Drosophila melanogaster: one gene and its partner. The protein of the gene in region 2 purifies or fractionates together with the protein of the main gene of each other region. This does not show direct contact. Each region holds a gene or a part of one and is shown on either strand. Other genes may lie near its edges.

Region 1 (8,591 bases), 960 kb from region 2:
TGCAGCTGCTTAACATTTAAAAGACACACAGTATGTAGATGAAACTAACTCTAGGATTACGGATACTACCACTCTCTAAATGGTTTTCTAGGTCTGTGATTTTTCTCTTTTTTTGAGTGTTTCTTTTTTTTATAGTTTTCAGTAAGGCATATGCACAAGGGAAGGACTCGATCATCGTCGTCTATATCGTTGGATATTCCGGATACTAAGTTGGTTGAAACGAAAGGGTAAACGAAAACGCATAACTAGGGGGAAGACAATACTGGGGACAATTGTATGTATGTACAGTACATGGTTTACAATTGGCTGCTTGATATGAGTATTTAGGTTAAGTTAAACTTTAGTTTAGTGCTTAGTTGGTTAGAAGCTAGAGAACTAATAGCCGCGATCCTTGACCATCCCTATACTAGCTCGAACTTAGAGATACTTTCGCACTGTTACAGACTACACGTTAAAACTCCTTCAATTAGATTTCATTGCAGTAGTTATTGCTGTTTGGTTGTCGAGGTGTCCTGCTGATTGTGATGCTAAAGAATCGTATAATTAACTTGTTCAGAGTGTCTCGTGTTGGCTGTGTTCTTTTGTATTTCCCAAATGGTGGAGGCCATTAGTTGATGTTTCATAATTTGTTTAAATTAAGTTTGCTTTATCAAATACCCTGCAACTTCATTTAATTATCACAGTTTTTCATCAGAGATAGTTTAAATGTTTCAATATTTCTTCTTTTAATTCATATTTCTGTTATTTCATTTTCTTGGTTGTTCGTTCACATTTTGTGTTGCTACAGTATGCAAGTAAAAAGCAAGCGAGTTGAAATTTGTGCAAACTTGAGTTCTATAACTAAGCATTTTATTTTAATCGGCAAATAAGGATTACTTTGCTTTTGCCTAGGATGTGTGGGGAGGGGTTTGGTTATTAATGATCTTCCACACATCTATGCCTGATATGCTGCCCGCTCTTTTCTCGATAATCTTATATTATACCTACTCTAGGTGTCTAACTTTTGTTTGTTTCTTTTTTTTTTTTGGTGAGCAAGTCGTCTTGTGTAAAACAAACATCGATTTTACTTTTAAAGTAGTTTCTGTTTTATTTTTTATCATAATTTAAACGTAATTATTTGGAAGCAAATGATGGCATATTTGTTTAACTTCTCCTTAATATTTTTTTCAGCGTTTTGTTCGTGGTTCTCTGCACGTTTAAAACACAAACATTTTTCAGCGATAACTTGAACAGCGCAATTAACACAATACACAAAATATTTAAATGTAAATTTAAAATGTCTTCTTGGAAAGTCTTCTTTTGAATTTCTCATTTCGTTTGGTTTGGTCTGGTAATTGTATTTACGCATAGTTAGGGTGTATAGATCGGGGGTGTAGATCATTCATTTGGTGACAAATGCCGAGTGTTGTCCTTTCGTTATGTTTATTATCCTTCTTCTTTTGTGGTTTGTTTTTCATTGTTTTTGTACTTTCGACAAAGAATATGTTTTGTTATTTAAACCGATTTGTATACAAACAAGGTAATAATGGCAAAAGACAGAAGTATATAATCATATACCTCTCTAATACATAATGCGTATGTTTGTGCTTGCAGCATATGGGTATGTGGTGTTGAACGTGTTGGTATTTTGGCATTGCTTTTGCTTTCGATTTCAAAATACATACAATAAATACAAGTCTCCAATTTAACAATACAAGTATAAGTGCGGAGTTGTCCATATATTACGTCACCACTAATTGGAGGGGATTCCCCACAATAGGAGGACGATAACGTACGACTTTGCGATAACGTAATTTACTGACAGCTCCAAAAGTGTATATATATATATATATATATATATATATGTATATACATACATATATCATATGAATAGATAGATAATCCTCATCTGATCGAGCTAAAACGAATACAATACAAATATAAACTAAGCATTCTAAACGTTGCGTGAATTTTGGTACTTTAAGTAATGCTCATAGGTTGCCTAACACATTGAGAGTATTGAAAGTAAAAGCGTACTAAATCGACAGACTAATACATATTACAAACAAAATACAGTTTTCTTAATTAGGAAACATGAAGAAAGTGTAATAATTAAAATAATTGGCAATACGAGCGAGGAGCAGAAGGAATCAACAATACACTTTTTACTGTGAATATTTTTTTTTAGCTTTTTGATATTTTTTTGATGCTATTTTTTTTTTTTTTTTTTTTTTTTTTTTTTTTTTTTGTTTGATAATTTGCATTTTGGTTTTGGGCGGGTTTCGGCCTTTTGCTAATACACAAATCTTTTGTTGTACTATGCAGCCTGTTATATATGTACGTATAGTAGTAGTATGTGGTATATATTTATATAAATATGTATGCATGATAATGACCAAAGAGCAAATCAAAGGCGTTTTTACAATTTCTCGTCGACACAATATCGCTTGAATGATGTATGGTGTGGTGAGGAAGTGCATTTATGTGGTCGTAGTTGCAATTTCAACATTGTTCGTCTTGGCGGCAGCGGCCAATTTCTGCTGCTCCGTTGTGATGTTGGCTTCGTGGCCATCCACGTTGTTACTGCTGATATCGTTGGCATGATTGCTGAAAGGTAAACCCCTGGTTTTAATTACAAGTGCAATGTATTTAAGTAATAAATGGTAAAACAAAAAATTGAGCTACAAACCAATACATTGCATAGGTGTAAACTTGTTTGGCATTTTAAATAGATTAAAAGTATAAACATTTCATATATACATATTTACATACCCACGTGCAAAAGGGTTAACTTACAATTCATTCACTTTGCTGTCTGGTCCATTTGAAATGGGAGTAATTTGCTCGGTCTCCGAAGGACGATCCGCACCCAGTGGCTTGGTCCACATTCCCTCATCGTCCTCATAATCATCCTCGCCGTCCAGCAGTACGGATTGCAATCGAGTAACAATTGCTGCAGTCTCCACCACGCTCGACTCGGCCAGCTTATCGCTGATGGCCTTCTCCACGTTGGCATTATTGTCGTACTCAGCCTGCTGATCGTCGGTACACGCTAGATTATCCTGAACGCCCTTGCCCACAGCGAGGCCAATAGATTCAGCGGGTTGGCGCTCCTCTTCTGGGTTCACCTGTGTGGCGGATTCCGGCGCTGGGGAAGAGTCCTCCTCTTCCTCTTCACCTGGCGGCGCACTTATGGGCATACCAAGATCGCTGCCAAATGTGCTAAAGTGCGCATCGAAATCAGCAAAGTTATCCGAATTGAAATCCGTGCCCCAGTTGGCAGTGCCCGTGTTAACCTGCGTAGGCGCGCTGGAAAGCACGGCAAACTGGATGTCCCAAGGGTCAGCCAAGTTGTTCAGCGTGTTCGAATTTTTGGTGAACATGCCGTGCCCGTGGCCATCACCACCGCCTGAATGGTCGCCATGCTCATCATCGTCATCATCTTCGTCGTCAATGTTTCGACCAAACTGGAACCGATTCTGATCTATGGCAAAGAAGATGTCTTGCAACGTGTTATTCAGCTCACTACAATCCACTTCTCTGTACGGCAGATTACCAACGTTCCACGCATTTATCTCGCCAGTATAGTCATTGGATCCATCATTGTACTGATTCTCCTCGTGAGGATTGCAGTCGGCCAGGAGCTTGGTCTGCTGTTTAACCGCCAGCGAAAACTCGCCAGTTTCCGCATCGATCAACGATTGCCACAGCTTAACCTCATCTTCATCACTTAGGCTGCTGGTGATCAGATCACCGATATGTTCAGATTCTGATATACAATTCGTAATGTGACGAAGAATTTTAATAAGGTGGCCCATATAGCCCAAACGTCGACCCTTCTCAGCAGATCTAAAAAAAGAACATTTGTTATGTGCCAGACTGATAATTAGTCAATTGAAGTACTTACTGCGCCTGCGCATTGTGCTGCCACAAGTCGACCAGTTTGGATATCAGATGACAGTTTACAATTAACTGCAAATCAGCGAGAATTAAGTTTAGTTGGGTACAAAAGTCAACTAAGACTTACATGTGATTGCATTTCAGAAGGCGGAGGGCTCGGAACGGTCTTGGTCTTGTCGAGATCATTGAGCGTTGCCTCCGATTCTTGCTGATCTGTTGGAGATTCACCATCCACCTCACTATTTTTCACTTCATTATCCTGGGCTTTGGGTTCGGCGTCCTCAGAAGCTGTTGCTTCAGCTGCGGCTTCCACTTGGCTCATATGTTCTTCATGCTCTTGGTTTTCTTCTGCGGCTGTCTGTCGCTCATCGGGCGTCTGGGCAGCCACTTCCTGCGCAGCTGCCACTTCGATTTCGATGTCGCCCCCTTCCTCATCCTTGCCACCTTCCGCGCGCTTCGCATCGTTAAGAGCGTTCTTCATCTCGACTTCGGACTCCTCCGTGCCCACCTTCAAAAAGGCATTGATCAGGCAGTCTGCAGTGAAGTAATCCGTGACCTCCGTGGATGCAGTGTTGTTGTTGGACAGCTCGTTGTAAAAGACCACGTACAGTGCCTTCTCCATTTCTGTGTGCAGGAAGTTGTTCCAGCAGTACTGCTTGAAAAAGTCCAGCAACAGGCTGAAGTACTCAGTCGCGCAGATTCTAAAGTATAAAAAGTTATTATTTATTAAAAGTTCTCCTTTCTATAAAGCAGTGACTTACGCCTGCTGAATAGTCTCATGCTTGGTCTCCAGCAGAGCGGTGAACACGCGACAAACTTGCAGTCGAGTCTTTCCAAATGGGGGCGTTAACACGGCGGCCGTGGTTTCTAGTGTGGGTTTCTACAAGTCAAAAGATAAACAGCTGGTTCTTTGTGACAAAAAGTTTCATGCTAACCGCAGGCGGGTTTTTCAGTATGTGGACAAATTCCTGGAGGCGTGGCGCCATCACAGTGATCACAGTCTCCTGGACTTCCTGGTGGATTTCGCGTTCGCGCTTTTGCAACAACCGCTGGCGATCCGAGTTGGGCTCATCTCTACAGGAAAAAATGTAAATCAATTAGAATAAGGTGACAAATTCACTGGCAGCATAACTTACGTGAAGGTAATTGGCTTGATTAGCGTAAGTACAACCGATATTCCTGATAAGATGGCGCTCTCCTGAGCGTTTGGTTCCAAAATCACATTTAACAAGGCTTCAATTGTGTCCGCAAATTCGATCGTCTTCAGAATGGGGTTGGATCCATCGAAGGCCGGCTCAAACGAATCGTTCTCCTGCTCGGTCTGGCGCATTAGACGCCCTTGGTTAATAAGATCACAGAAAAAGTCGGCAACATTTGCATGTTTGTCGGTTTCTTGAGGATTACGCAATATTGCAATCAGTCTCTCAACAATTTTATCTTCAGTTAGCCACTGTTAAAAGAAATATTCGATAAGATTCGTATGCCTAGGCAAAACTCTCTAATGGACTTACTTCGAAAAGGTTCCGCTTAAGTCGCCCACCCTCGATGTCCTTCATCATCTGCATTATTAGATCAGGTATGACCGGTGTGTCAAAGTGTTTACAAATGAAATCCAAAAAGGTCTTCTGCGATTTAATATACTCCAGGAGTTGTAGGCACATGTGTTGATACAAAAACCAATCTTGTTCAGGCTTTTTGGTAAAGAGCATGCTAAACGTTTTGCTAAAAAACGACGATAGCAATGGATTTAACGGTGGTTCCTTTTCCAGATATGAATACAGCAGCTGCAGCGTCTCCGCGTCGTTCAGTAGCTTCTCATCCAGGGACGGCAGGCCGCTAAAATGGCATGGGCTATAGAATTCTGGATGGCAACGGGCATTCAATTCTTACAGTGTGAGTATCTCACAGGACATGTTGGCATAGCGGAAACGCTTCGACATGGGCACATCTTCAGAGGGCTCGGTCGTGATCAGCTCCACCAGACGCCGTATGACCTCGGGACGTGTAAAGTAGTTGACCAGGTTCTTCTTTTGCGTCTTGCACTCCTGCAGTATGTCCTCCTCGTCCAGAAATTCCTCCAGTGTGGAGTTCTGCGAATGGCGACGACGCGTAACTGAGACATTTCCACTTGATCAGCACGGATCGAGTCAACCTACCTCCTTCTCGAGCAGCGCCTCTATATTCGCGGAGGGCGCATAACCCTTGTCCCAAAACATTTTTCGCACGTACGTCTTGGCGGTGACACTTTCAGTCTGGGGGAAACAAGATCAATCTTCGCTGGACTCGCGGAACGCTGATGACTTGGCATGCACGGCTCTGCGGGACGGGATTGGAGATTTGGATAAGCGGAATAGCGCAATTAATACACTGAACACAGACTAGACTCAGCTCAACACTCGGCTCTCACAAAGTAATGCGTAAATTTTTGTAATTATGCCAAGCAGGCTCCACATATACACTACGAATGCGGGTCGAAAAATGGTTGTATGCCGGTCGTTTGAGATTGCAAGGGTTGCGGGATGCTTGGGCGCACACTTACGAGTTGGCTGGACTTTGTTTTGCTCACTGTTTGTTGCACTTTTGATTGGTTTTCAACCGAAAAAACCACGCTATAATTTTCTTCACTGCTTCGTAGAGGTGGACAATATTCGATTACAGGGTATATTAACTCAGTGTGATATATGCGGCCGATCGACCGTGTCCTCACACAATCGGTTATCGATTGTCATTTTTCAACTTGTTCACACGATAACCGCTGCACATATTGTAGAAACTAAACTACATACAATTATGTTTTATGATTTAAATACAGTTCTTTATTATAAATATATTTCTTTAATTGGTTTTCTTTTTAAATGGTTTTCTTTCTTTTCATTTTTGCCTGAGTTGCTATTTGATAACTTACCGAAAATGTTTTGCTTTCTAGAGAACATAAAGATTCCCCTGTTGCAATCGTTAAATTTAAGCTGTGGAGGTGTGTCATTTGGTGTCCGATATAGATTTTTCTGTTATCGTATATCGAATTGGCGGTCATCGCACATTTGTTTGTCCGAATTGTTATTTCGCAAATAACAATGGATGGCGTTGTTTTGTGCGAAATTGCTGATGAAGTACCTCCAGAAAGTCCCGAGGATCCAACGGAGTTCCGCTACGGAAAGAAGCGATGGGTGTTCAAAGATAATCTCGTTGAGCATAAAGAGGAGATTTTGATTTGTATTGAAAAATGTGTGTAGGCTAACGTACTATAATTGCACTTATTAATAAGAAAATATTTCAGGCCAGAATGCTCGGACGAGAAAGCTGAAGTTCAGATCCATTCGGCAGGAGTCGGGCTCCTGCATCCTGGTGCTAAGCCATGAACAGACGCATGTTCGAGCACGTGAGATCGAGATGGAAGTGGGAGAACAAGTTCTGCCCCTTTTCTTTAAAGACTTCAGAGGCAGTCTCGAGTTCGAGGTGGCCCAGCAGGAGAAGGAGCACAAGCGTCCCTTAAAAACATATGTAACCACCAAGTTGTACGACGCCCTCTACGAAAAGCACCGCCAGACCGTTCATGTTGAACAGGAACGTTCGCTAGACCTGCCGAAAAGATTTCAATCTCAGCTACGCAAGTACCAGCAGCGCACAGTATCTTGGATGCTGGGGCGGGAGCAGCAGATAACTCAAGTGCCGGCCAACTTCATAGTGCTCCATGCCATTGATGGTATAACTCGCGTCTTTAAGCATAAATACTGCTTACAATTTTATCCTTTCGAGGAGGAGATTCCCAAAATCTCGTTGCCGCCGGGTGGCATTCTGGCCGACGAGATGGGCCTGGGCAAGACCGTGGAGTTCCTGGCCATGCTGCTGATGAATCCGCGCCCACAAGACTCCTACCGAAACGATTACTGGCACCAACGCCTCGAGGAGTTTTCCGATGAAGTGCCATTAAAGCGGTCACGTATAAGTAAAAAAGACGAGGTTTTCTGCATCTGCACCAAGAAACACGGTAAACGAGTGCAGTGCACCAAATGCCGTCGGTGGCAACACGAAATGTGCATGACTATTTCAGAAAAATCAGACTTACCCCACCTGTGTCCCAGCTGCTGGTCCGAATTGGTAAAGTCTGGCGAAAGGCTTGTTGAGAGCGGCGCTACCATCATTGTATCTCCGAACGCCATCAAGATGCAGTGGTTCGAAGAGATACACAAGCATATATCGCCATCGCTTAAGGTGCTCCTTTATTTCGGCCTACACTCAACCTTCTGGGTTAGTCCTTTCGATCTGGCCCAGTACGATGTCGTCCTTACCGACTATACGATTCTGCGTAACGAAATATACCATACGACGGACTTTAAGTCGGACCGCCAGATGCGCCACCAACAAAGGTACATGCGTCCCAACTCTCCACTTTTAATGGTAAACTGGTGGCGCGTTTGCTTGGATGAGGCACAGGTAAGAGAATTTTTTACTTTTGTATCCACGGCCCACTGAATATTTTCCAAACTACCCACATCCAGATGGTCGAGAGCAGCACTTCAGCAGCTGCCGAGATGGTTAGAATGCTGCCGGCCATTAATCGTTGGGCTGTTACTGGCACAATTGATGAATTGCCGCCTTTGTTGGAGTTCGTGGGCCGGCCCGAAGTCTGTAGGCCACCGGATGCTTGGCAAACCGTCGACAAGGCCTTTCAGCTTAACTACAAATGTGAGCCGCTGCTGGAACTTCTCGAG
Region 2 (7,955 bases):
GTACGAGGCCTGGAGCTCCAACAAGGGTCTCTCCAAGGAGGCTGCCAAGGAGGCCTACGTAAAGGTGTACGAGAAGTACGCCCCCAAGTACGCCTAAGCCGGCAACCGATCAAATCCGATCCAATCCGATTCCGATTGCGGACCCCCCATGCACCTGCCATCACCACTATAGTACTTAGTTGGACAATAAAGATTACCAGATATATGAGCAATAATCAGGTGTTTGTCCGGCTGAGCGGCATTTTATTGGAGCTTTCGTGCATTATGGAACTAAAATGGAGATGGAGATTTGGGAGCGGTGGGACCCCTCGAACTTTGATCCGAACGAGATTACGTGTCTTGACAGTGGTGTTTGGTGGGGTGAATTATCAGGGAATCGAAATCGGAGCTGTTATCCGTAGGCCTGCATTATCAGCAACGCGAATGCCTAGCCCCACTTCAGCGAAAGCTTCCCGATCCACTGAGAATCGGAGTGGAGCTTAACCGCTCATTTTGCTCACTGGGGAGAAGCTTTCTCGTTGCGGGCGATCGTGCGATATGGAATGACTTAAATTGAAAGTCACCGCCGGATTGGAATTCAGACACTGTTTAGTTCTGTGGCAAACAACACACAACAGTAAGTGTTTAGTTTAAATTCAATTACCCAGCTGCTAATGGGTGGTAATATCAGTGCTGGTGACACATAAAGTGGACATTTCGTGCGAGTTTATACACCTGCAGAGCTCAATTATGGAAATTCGCCAGGCAACAGGCACTGATGAAAATATAGTACAAAAAATCGCTTTTGAAACGCATATTCTGGAACATGCTAAACGAAACTTGTCACCTTGACCTATTGCAATTTCCAACGCCCATAAACTAAATGAGTGCCTTTTAAATGATTACTTATTTTAGAACTGCAAGATGGCGTGGCCATAACTAAGCATGACCATATGTATGTGCCAGATATTTTGCTCAGTGCTAGACACGTACAAAGCCCACGTCCGTATCCAAATTGGTCGAAATTCGCCGGCCAATAGCGGCCGCTAACGGTTGCCCGCTCGCTCCCTTTCAAAAATCTCGCAGTCGAGACAAATATTTGCGTCTGCTGTTTCCGCAGCATAATTTCCCAGTTCTACTCGAATTATGTATTTCAGCCGGGAGAAAGTCGAACAAACATCTATCCATTAGCAAACATTCGTAGGGTCTTCAAGATCGCCCCCCGGGGCCAAAGGTCATTTCCAGCTGGCTCTGTTTGGCACACGCCAGCCTCTTCACTCGGAACTGGTTTTACTTATTATGCTAATAAACATTAAGCTGACCACTTCATAAACATGACTAATTAAACATTTTTTTTTACAATTCCACTACTTACAGATAAAATCTAACCCAGAATGGTTTCCGAGGTAAGTACTTTTCCCAAAAGATTATGCACTGATAGCAACAGTCTACCAACATTTAGGGCGCGATAGCCTTGCTGCTAATCACCTGTTCGATTACTATACACTGAGCGAAATCTATTCATAAGCGATTGACTTTTCAATCTTAAAATTGTAATCGTAATATGAGATAAGATTGTGTTTCCGCTGAAGCAAGGACAGCTGTTCAAATACGATTTTGTTTTGAAGTAATAACCGTTTTCGGTTGAAATCGATAATTATAATTTTTTGTAGTTTCCAGAGAATATTTTTATCTCGCACAACTATTTTTGTTAGTTTTAATGACAGTTTGTTAGTAGATATTGTTGCAACTAATATTCCAAACCTTTTTTATAATACCACTTTCAATAGATTTTACGATCCCACTTGATAGATTTTCCACTAATAAATCATCCCGTCTATCTTCAGCAATTCAACGCCGCCGCCGAGAAGGTGAAGAGCCTGACCAAGCGTCCCAGTGATGACGAGTTCCTGCAGCTGTACGCCCTGTTCAAGCAGGCCAGCGTTGGTGACAACGACACCGCCAAGCCGGGTCTCCTGGACCTGAAGGGCAAGGCCAAGTGGGAGGCCTGGAACAAGCAGAAGGGCAAGAGCAGCGAGGCCGCCCAGCAGGAGTACATCACCTTTGTGGAGGGCCTGGTGGCCAAGTATGCCTAAAAACCCAATCCCAGCAATTAGCGATCTTAAACCAGCTAGAGACTATTGTAATGTTACCTTTAATGCGGAATAAACTTCGTATGTTAATTTTGTACTAAAAGATATTGACCCGGTGACTCAAGAGGTGCATACGCCTGGCCTGGGGCTATTTAACTGGCAAATAGAGGAAGTGGCTGGCTGCACCGCTTTGCAGTACTTTGAACCGCCAGTGGCGCTTGTTAGCGGTGCATCGTTAATGGATCTTCGAGTGTGTTTGTCCAAACCGCGCTTCGAACGGGGTTCAAAGTCGAGGGGAAGATTTCCTAAAACTTCGACCTTGAGCCATCCATCTATCCTGTTTGACGTACGTAGTTTAACTTAACGAAAAGCTTTAGATAATTGGCCACGATTTTTCACGAATTAAGTTGGGTTTGTTTAAATGCAATCGCAACATCATCTGCCGATAGCAACATGTTGCTAGTGGCCAGTTGCTAAATCGTGCGCAACAGGTGAATCAGCAACATCGCAACAGCAAAGAAAAGGAAGCAGACACAAGAAGCAGCCTCTACATCTACATTTACATTTACATCTACAGCCACCGCAATAACAATAACATTGTTTTTTGTTTATGAATGAAAAGCGCAAAGGCAAAACAGCGATAAACTGGTGTGCGGCTAAGAAGACCAGCAAACTGGGGTAACAAAGAGGAGCCGACTAGGACACACCCTGGAAAAGTGTATTCAACGGATATTCAACAGATTTGTAGGCCATTAAATTAAGATTTCAATTAAATAAATTATCACAGTTTACAAATTTTTGTTTTCTTATTATTTGAAGGTGTCAAACCTTCTATGATTTTTAATCACTTCATATGTGTGATTCCTGTTTTGCAACCGGAAGTGGATTAAATGATTTCACTGCACACTTTTAGGCGCTCAAGAAAAATTCCGACCTCTACAAGTTTTCGATATAGAATGTTGAGTTAAAAAATCACAGTTGCCTTGAAAACCGATACACCTGTTCTGCGAAACGGTAGCAAAGGTGCTGAGAGAGAGTCCAGAGAGTGATAGAGAGAGCCAAGAGAGAGCGATCGTGCAAAACAAACAGGCAACAACAACAGGCACACCGACCACCACACCAGTCTCGGCCATTCCGAAAAATAACTCAGTTCAGTCTTCATTCGGGCCCAAACGCGTTCGCTTGGCCAGCGGCTCGTATCCGTCGCTTTCTTCGCCTATCGGTGTGTGCGTGCGCCTGCCTACGTGTGTGCCTGTGCATGCGAGTGTGTGTGTTAACAAAATGTGATTAGCAAAAATACAAAGAAATCAGGCATAGTGGAACAAGGCATTGTGGCTGAAACAACAGTCGGCGGCAGTAACAGTCGACACTAAAAAACAACAAAATATACACATATACATATATTAATAATAGTACATACGAAACATATCTTTTGAGATATACACGAAATGCGAAAATTTGCATAAAAAGCAATGCGCTGGCGCGGCAACAAAGCGCGGCCGTAAAAAAATAAGTAACGCCAACGACAATTCTGAATTTTGTGCTTTATCGGCAGCAGCAGCAACAATTAAATTAATATTGAACTACACCCAAAGTTAACAAAAGTAGCAGCCATAAAAAAAATACAACACCACAGCCGCAACAACAATAGCGGCAGCAGCAACAACCACAAACGTTGTCTACCTTTTTTACCTTTTCAAGTCTGTTGATTTTTTTTTTTTGGATTTTGTGTTGCTGCTGCAAGAGCGATGTATTGAGAGAGCGGCTTAGCTCCGAATCGGAAACCGACTCCGAATTCGAGGCCCACACTTCGAAGTGATACGGACTGGTCATCTGTCTGCCAGCAGCCGCAGATGCAATTCGGTGAGTTTCGCCCATTCACCGTTGCCGCATTCAAATTCGCAGACCGAAAGATACAATTTGAAATTGCCTCGATTGGATTGCGAGTTAAAACTTCGTTCGTTAGCCACTTACTTTATATGGGGTTTAGTGCTCTTTAAACATAATCAAAGCAATAATATGAAATTCGACAAATCAAACAGTGATAGGTTTTTTAAAAGTGTAACATTTATCTAATCGTGAGTGACTAAAGTTTGACCTTACAAACTTAATAATAAAGTATAATGTTATGCTTTTGCTATCTCCGCGTATGTTAATAATGTATGCATTTATAATTCATATATTAAATTCGAAACTAAATTCTCAACTTAAGTTTAATCTTAGACTTTTCAGAAGAGAGCTTATAGCTTTAAAGCAGAGTTAATAATACCACAAGATCAGTGTTATTCGCTAAATTCAAACGATTTTATGCCGCAATTTCACCAGATATTTCAATAAAAAGTTGCCCAGGTAGCCAGAAATCCAGAAAATCTCCGATCGCAGACTCCGCCAATCCCATTAAAATGTGCCAAAATGTGAGCGTTAGTATCTGTGGCGATATTTGTATATATTCCCGTGTGCCCGCTTCTTGTTGTTGGGCTAATTCGCAGCAATTTCTTCGTTCGCGGCCTTTTCATTAATAAGTTTCACGCGCCGCTCATTTTTCAACATACTCGCACTCCTGTCCCCGGAATCACCTCGTCTGCGGATCGGATTACCGTGTTGATGTTGTCTTTACTTTTCGCAGTCCCCAAATACTTGGCAAGGGGGGAAGGTAAAGGAGAAGCGGTACGAATAAATTATAATTTTTTGCTAATTCGTACATGTAGGTAGTTTTCGGCTTTCGGTGGGGTAGATAACATAATTTACCTGGTGATGCAATACACTTAAATATGAATTGGCTAAGAACGTATAAGTTTGATTTTAAATGCATACTGATTTTGAATAAATGTTGTCGAACATGATCGTCTCTCTATTTAACTCATGGATCGATCAAAACAGCTGACTTGGCAATTCAGTTTTGCTTATAAGAGATCTACATTGTGAAACTGATATTAAATGCATGCAATTGAAAAGATACATACTTCGCTCATTGTTGAGATAGTTCCCACACAAGAGCCTTACTACTACTCAACCTTAACCAATAGTTATTGATGACATTTGCAACCCAGATTTCAAATTGACTAGATAAATATATTTCCAATCGGAGGCATCCCAGTCAGCCAAACCCAACCCACCACCAGGTAGTCAGAAACCAAAACAGACGCAAAAACGGATTGTGCGATCGGAGTTAGAGGAAAACGAGTTTTCCAGCGACATCGACTAATACTAGTTATGTATGTTTTGCGACTATAAGCCGCCAAAAACTCCTTTTTCCCCCGAGGCGCCTTGCAGACTTTGAACCGACGTGTAATTGCAGTCGCAAGTTGCAAGTTGCAGGTTGCAAGTTGCCAGTGGCCAGCGACTAGTGGCTGGCAGTCGAGACACTTGACGCTCCTCGGGCCACATTGGATTGTCCAGGTATGACAATGGAATGCACAAACAAGAACCAAACACTTGCCAAGCACGCAATGCGACTCGGTTTCGGAAAAGCTCGGAATGCTCGCTGGATCAGAATACGTATACGTCCAGTGTGACGGTTATGTGAGCCGGCTGCCCGGTTCGCGGAAACTCCCAACAAGGAGATCCACGAAGGCCGTGCCACTTGGTCGGCTAGTCCAGCCCTGGCCAACAGGTAGGGTTACTCATAGCGAGGCATCTCTGTATCTGTGTCGCCATCTGGGAATTGAGTCATTCGCACGCTCTTCGAAAAGCACAGACAGACTTCTGTAAGTCGAACTGTGATCTTGTCACGTTCAAGATCTACAAATTGCGTGCATATCTTTTTCACTCCGAATATTCACGAACTTTGCGTCATCGAGTATATTCAAATATCACCCCGTGAGCCGCCTAGTCCTAGAAGTCTTATTGTGGGTTTAACAAATTCTTCAAAAATACTGATTCAAAATACATTTCATTACCTAAAATGGATTGTAGTTTCAAAACATATACATTTCGTGATTTTGAAATGCTTAAAGCTTGAGTAATCACAATAATTGACCCAAATTGCTGTCCAAGAGTCCAAGAAGTTCGACTGTAATAGAAAGGCTTGACGAACTAAGATATTTAGTGGCTGGCTTTATTCCGTTCCTGAACTCTGCCATTTTGTGGAGCAATGCAAATAGAATCTAAGCGAAGAGTTATGGGGCCCCGAATTTTGGCACAGCCTTTGTTTCCACTCTGTCTCCGAAATCTGGAGACCATGCCCTCCTCTAAACCTCCCCCCCCCTGCGATCTTGGGCCCGGGGCTTCGTGTGTATTAACCTGCCGCACCGGTTTCGGTTTATGTTTTAGCCAACGCCATCATCCATTACTTATACCCGAGCTCGAACCCCTTTTTTCATACATATGTGTGTTTCTATTTCTCTTTTAATTTTCTCTCGGGCGCTCAAAGTTGCTGCTGCTGCTGCTGCTGCCGCTGCTGTTGCTGCGACTTGTTGCTGCTTCTTTATTTATTTTTTAACCAGTTTTTCTGTTTGTTGTTGGTGCTGCAACCTGAGCGCGAATGAGCCATAAATAACAACAACCACAGCAGCCCAGTCGCTGTCTTCTGTCCCGATTTCCAGGAAGCAAATGTCTGTCCGTCCGTCCGTCCGCTTGTCGGCTTGTCCGCCCGTCGAGAGGCCCGAACCCAAACCCAAAGCAACCCGTCCCGTCTGCAATTCGCGTGCAGAGCCGCTTTGCCCGCCTGACTGGCCTCTATGGATTATGCAACTCTTGGTTTTGGTTTTTAGTTTTCGGTTTTCGGCTTTCAGTTTTCAGTTTTTATTTGAAAATTTAATAACCCAGGCGCGTTGGCGTTAGCGTCTGCTTCCTTGATGGCGCGACAGCCGCGCGAAATGACTTTTCTGCCAGCTCTTTTCATTTCATGTTTTTTTTTTAGCGCCCACGGATTTGGCCAGCCAGCAAATTCCCGGCTGATCCGCTAAGTCGCGTCTAATCCCTTGCCGGAATTTTGCTCATCTAATCAAAAGACCTGCATTCCACGAAGGTCCAAAGAACTCGACGGCAAGTTGGCCAAGAATTTACCGGTGCTATCAGCGGAACCAACAAGCGGCCAACTGCAAGTGGGCAAACACAAATAGCGTTTGCGGGAAACCCCACGGAAAACAGAGCCGCCGAATCATTTTCGCAGAATTTCTGGCCGGCCATACGGTGCAGATTCTTGGGTAAACAAACTAGCTTGTGCAATTAATGTGGGCCAATCATGGACTCAATGCGTATTAGTTGAAGGTTCCATAAAGATAATTGACCCAAATTTGTTTGCCATAAAGATAGTTGTTTTAGCTAGTATATTTCGCTTGGATTTCCGATATCACAAGTTCTCTGGCTGGGCTGCATACATACTCGTATAACATGAAATATACATTCCATCAGAGGCTGAGCAAGGGCAATTCTGCCTGAGAGTATCTTAGATAAACATCGAGGCAGTGCAACAAGTATTTGGTGTCCGCGGAATATCTATATTTATACAACTACAGCAACTTATATATGCACTTTCGGGACAATCGAGAATAGAACTGCTCTGGAGCAACAAGTAAATATTTTGGCGAAACCTCTATACAAATGCCCGGCGATAAGATAAAAAGTGGCTGCCAGAGGCGCCTGAACTTTGGCAATGGGCCAATTCCAAACATGGCAGTGAAAAAATGCACTGACTAAAATAAACAAATACACCCGACTAATTCTCATTGGATATAGTCAATTTCAATGGATCGTGATTTCTTTTGCAATACTAAAATATTAAGCAATAACTGCATATAAGAATATATAAATCGGATGCAATTTTTACAAAGATCCTTGTTAATATGGAATTCATATTTTTTTTAGTTGCTGCAGATGAAGAATTTTGACGAATACTAATTGGGGAATTCTCCACGATGCACGAACTTTTCAACAAAGTGC

Evidence for each region. The genes of interacting proteins can lie anywhere in the genome.
Region 1: the proteins of melt (region 2) and fmt purify together in Drosophila melanogaster (affinity purification with mass spectrometry, with the first as the bait; one large-scale study listed by BioGRID). This does not show direct contact.

Annotation. Positions count from the first base shown.
Region 1 is NT_037436.4:6,167,342-6,175,932, forward strand, and holds fmt (fiery mountain), read right to left. Parts: upstream 6,540-8,591; 5' UTR 6,419-6,539; intron 6,196-6,418; 5' UTR 6,096-6,195; coding exon 6,036-6,095; intron 5,970-6,035; coding exon 5,770-5,969; intron 5,716-5,769; coding exon 5,391-5,715; intron 5,330-5,390; coding exon 5,016-5,329; intron 4,954-5,015; coding exon 4,815-4,953; intron 4,760-4,814; coding exon 4,641-4,759; intron 4,581-4,640; coding exon 4,007-4,580; intron 3,952-4,006; coding exon 3,887-3,951; intron 3,829-3,886; coding exon 2,776-3,828; intron 2,602-2,775; coding exon 2,460-2,601; 3' UTR 2,228-2,459; downstream 1-2,227. Other genes in the region: CG7376 (uncharacterized protein), read left to right, coding at 6,954-7,104, 7,157-8,313, 8,379-8,591.
Region 2 is NT_037436.4:7,131,293-7,139,247, forward strand, and holds the start of melt (melted), read left to right. Parts: upstream 1-3,223; 5' UTR 3,224-3,935; intron 3,936-6,933; exon of another isoform or gene 6,934-7,219; intron 7,220-7,880; 5' UTR 7,881-7,930; coding exon 7,931-7,955. Other genes in the region: Acbp3 (Acyl-CoA binding protein 3), read left to right, coding at 1-97; Acbp2 (Acyl-CoA binding protein 2), read left to right, coding at 1,374-1,385, 1,827-2,075. UniProt on the Drosophila melanogaster protein: Participates in fat metabolism regulation by recruiting FOXO and the TSC1-TSC2 complex to the cell membrane, which positively regulates TOR activity and negatively regulates the expression of FOXO target genes.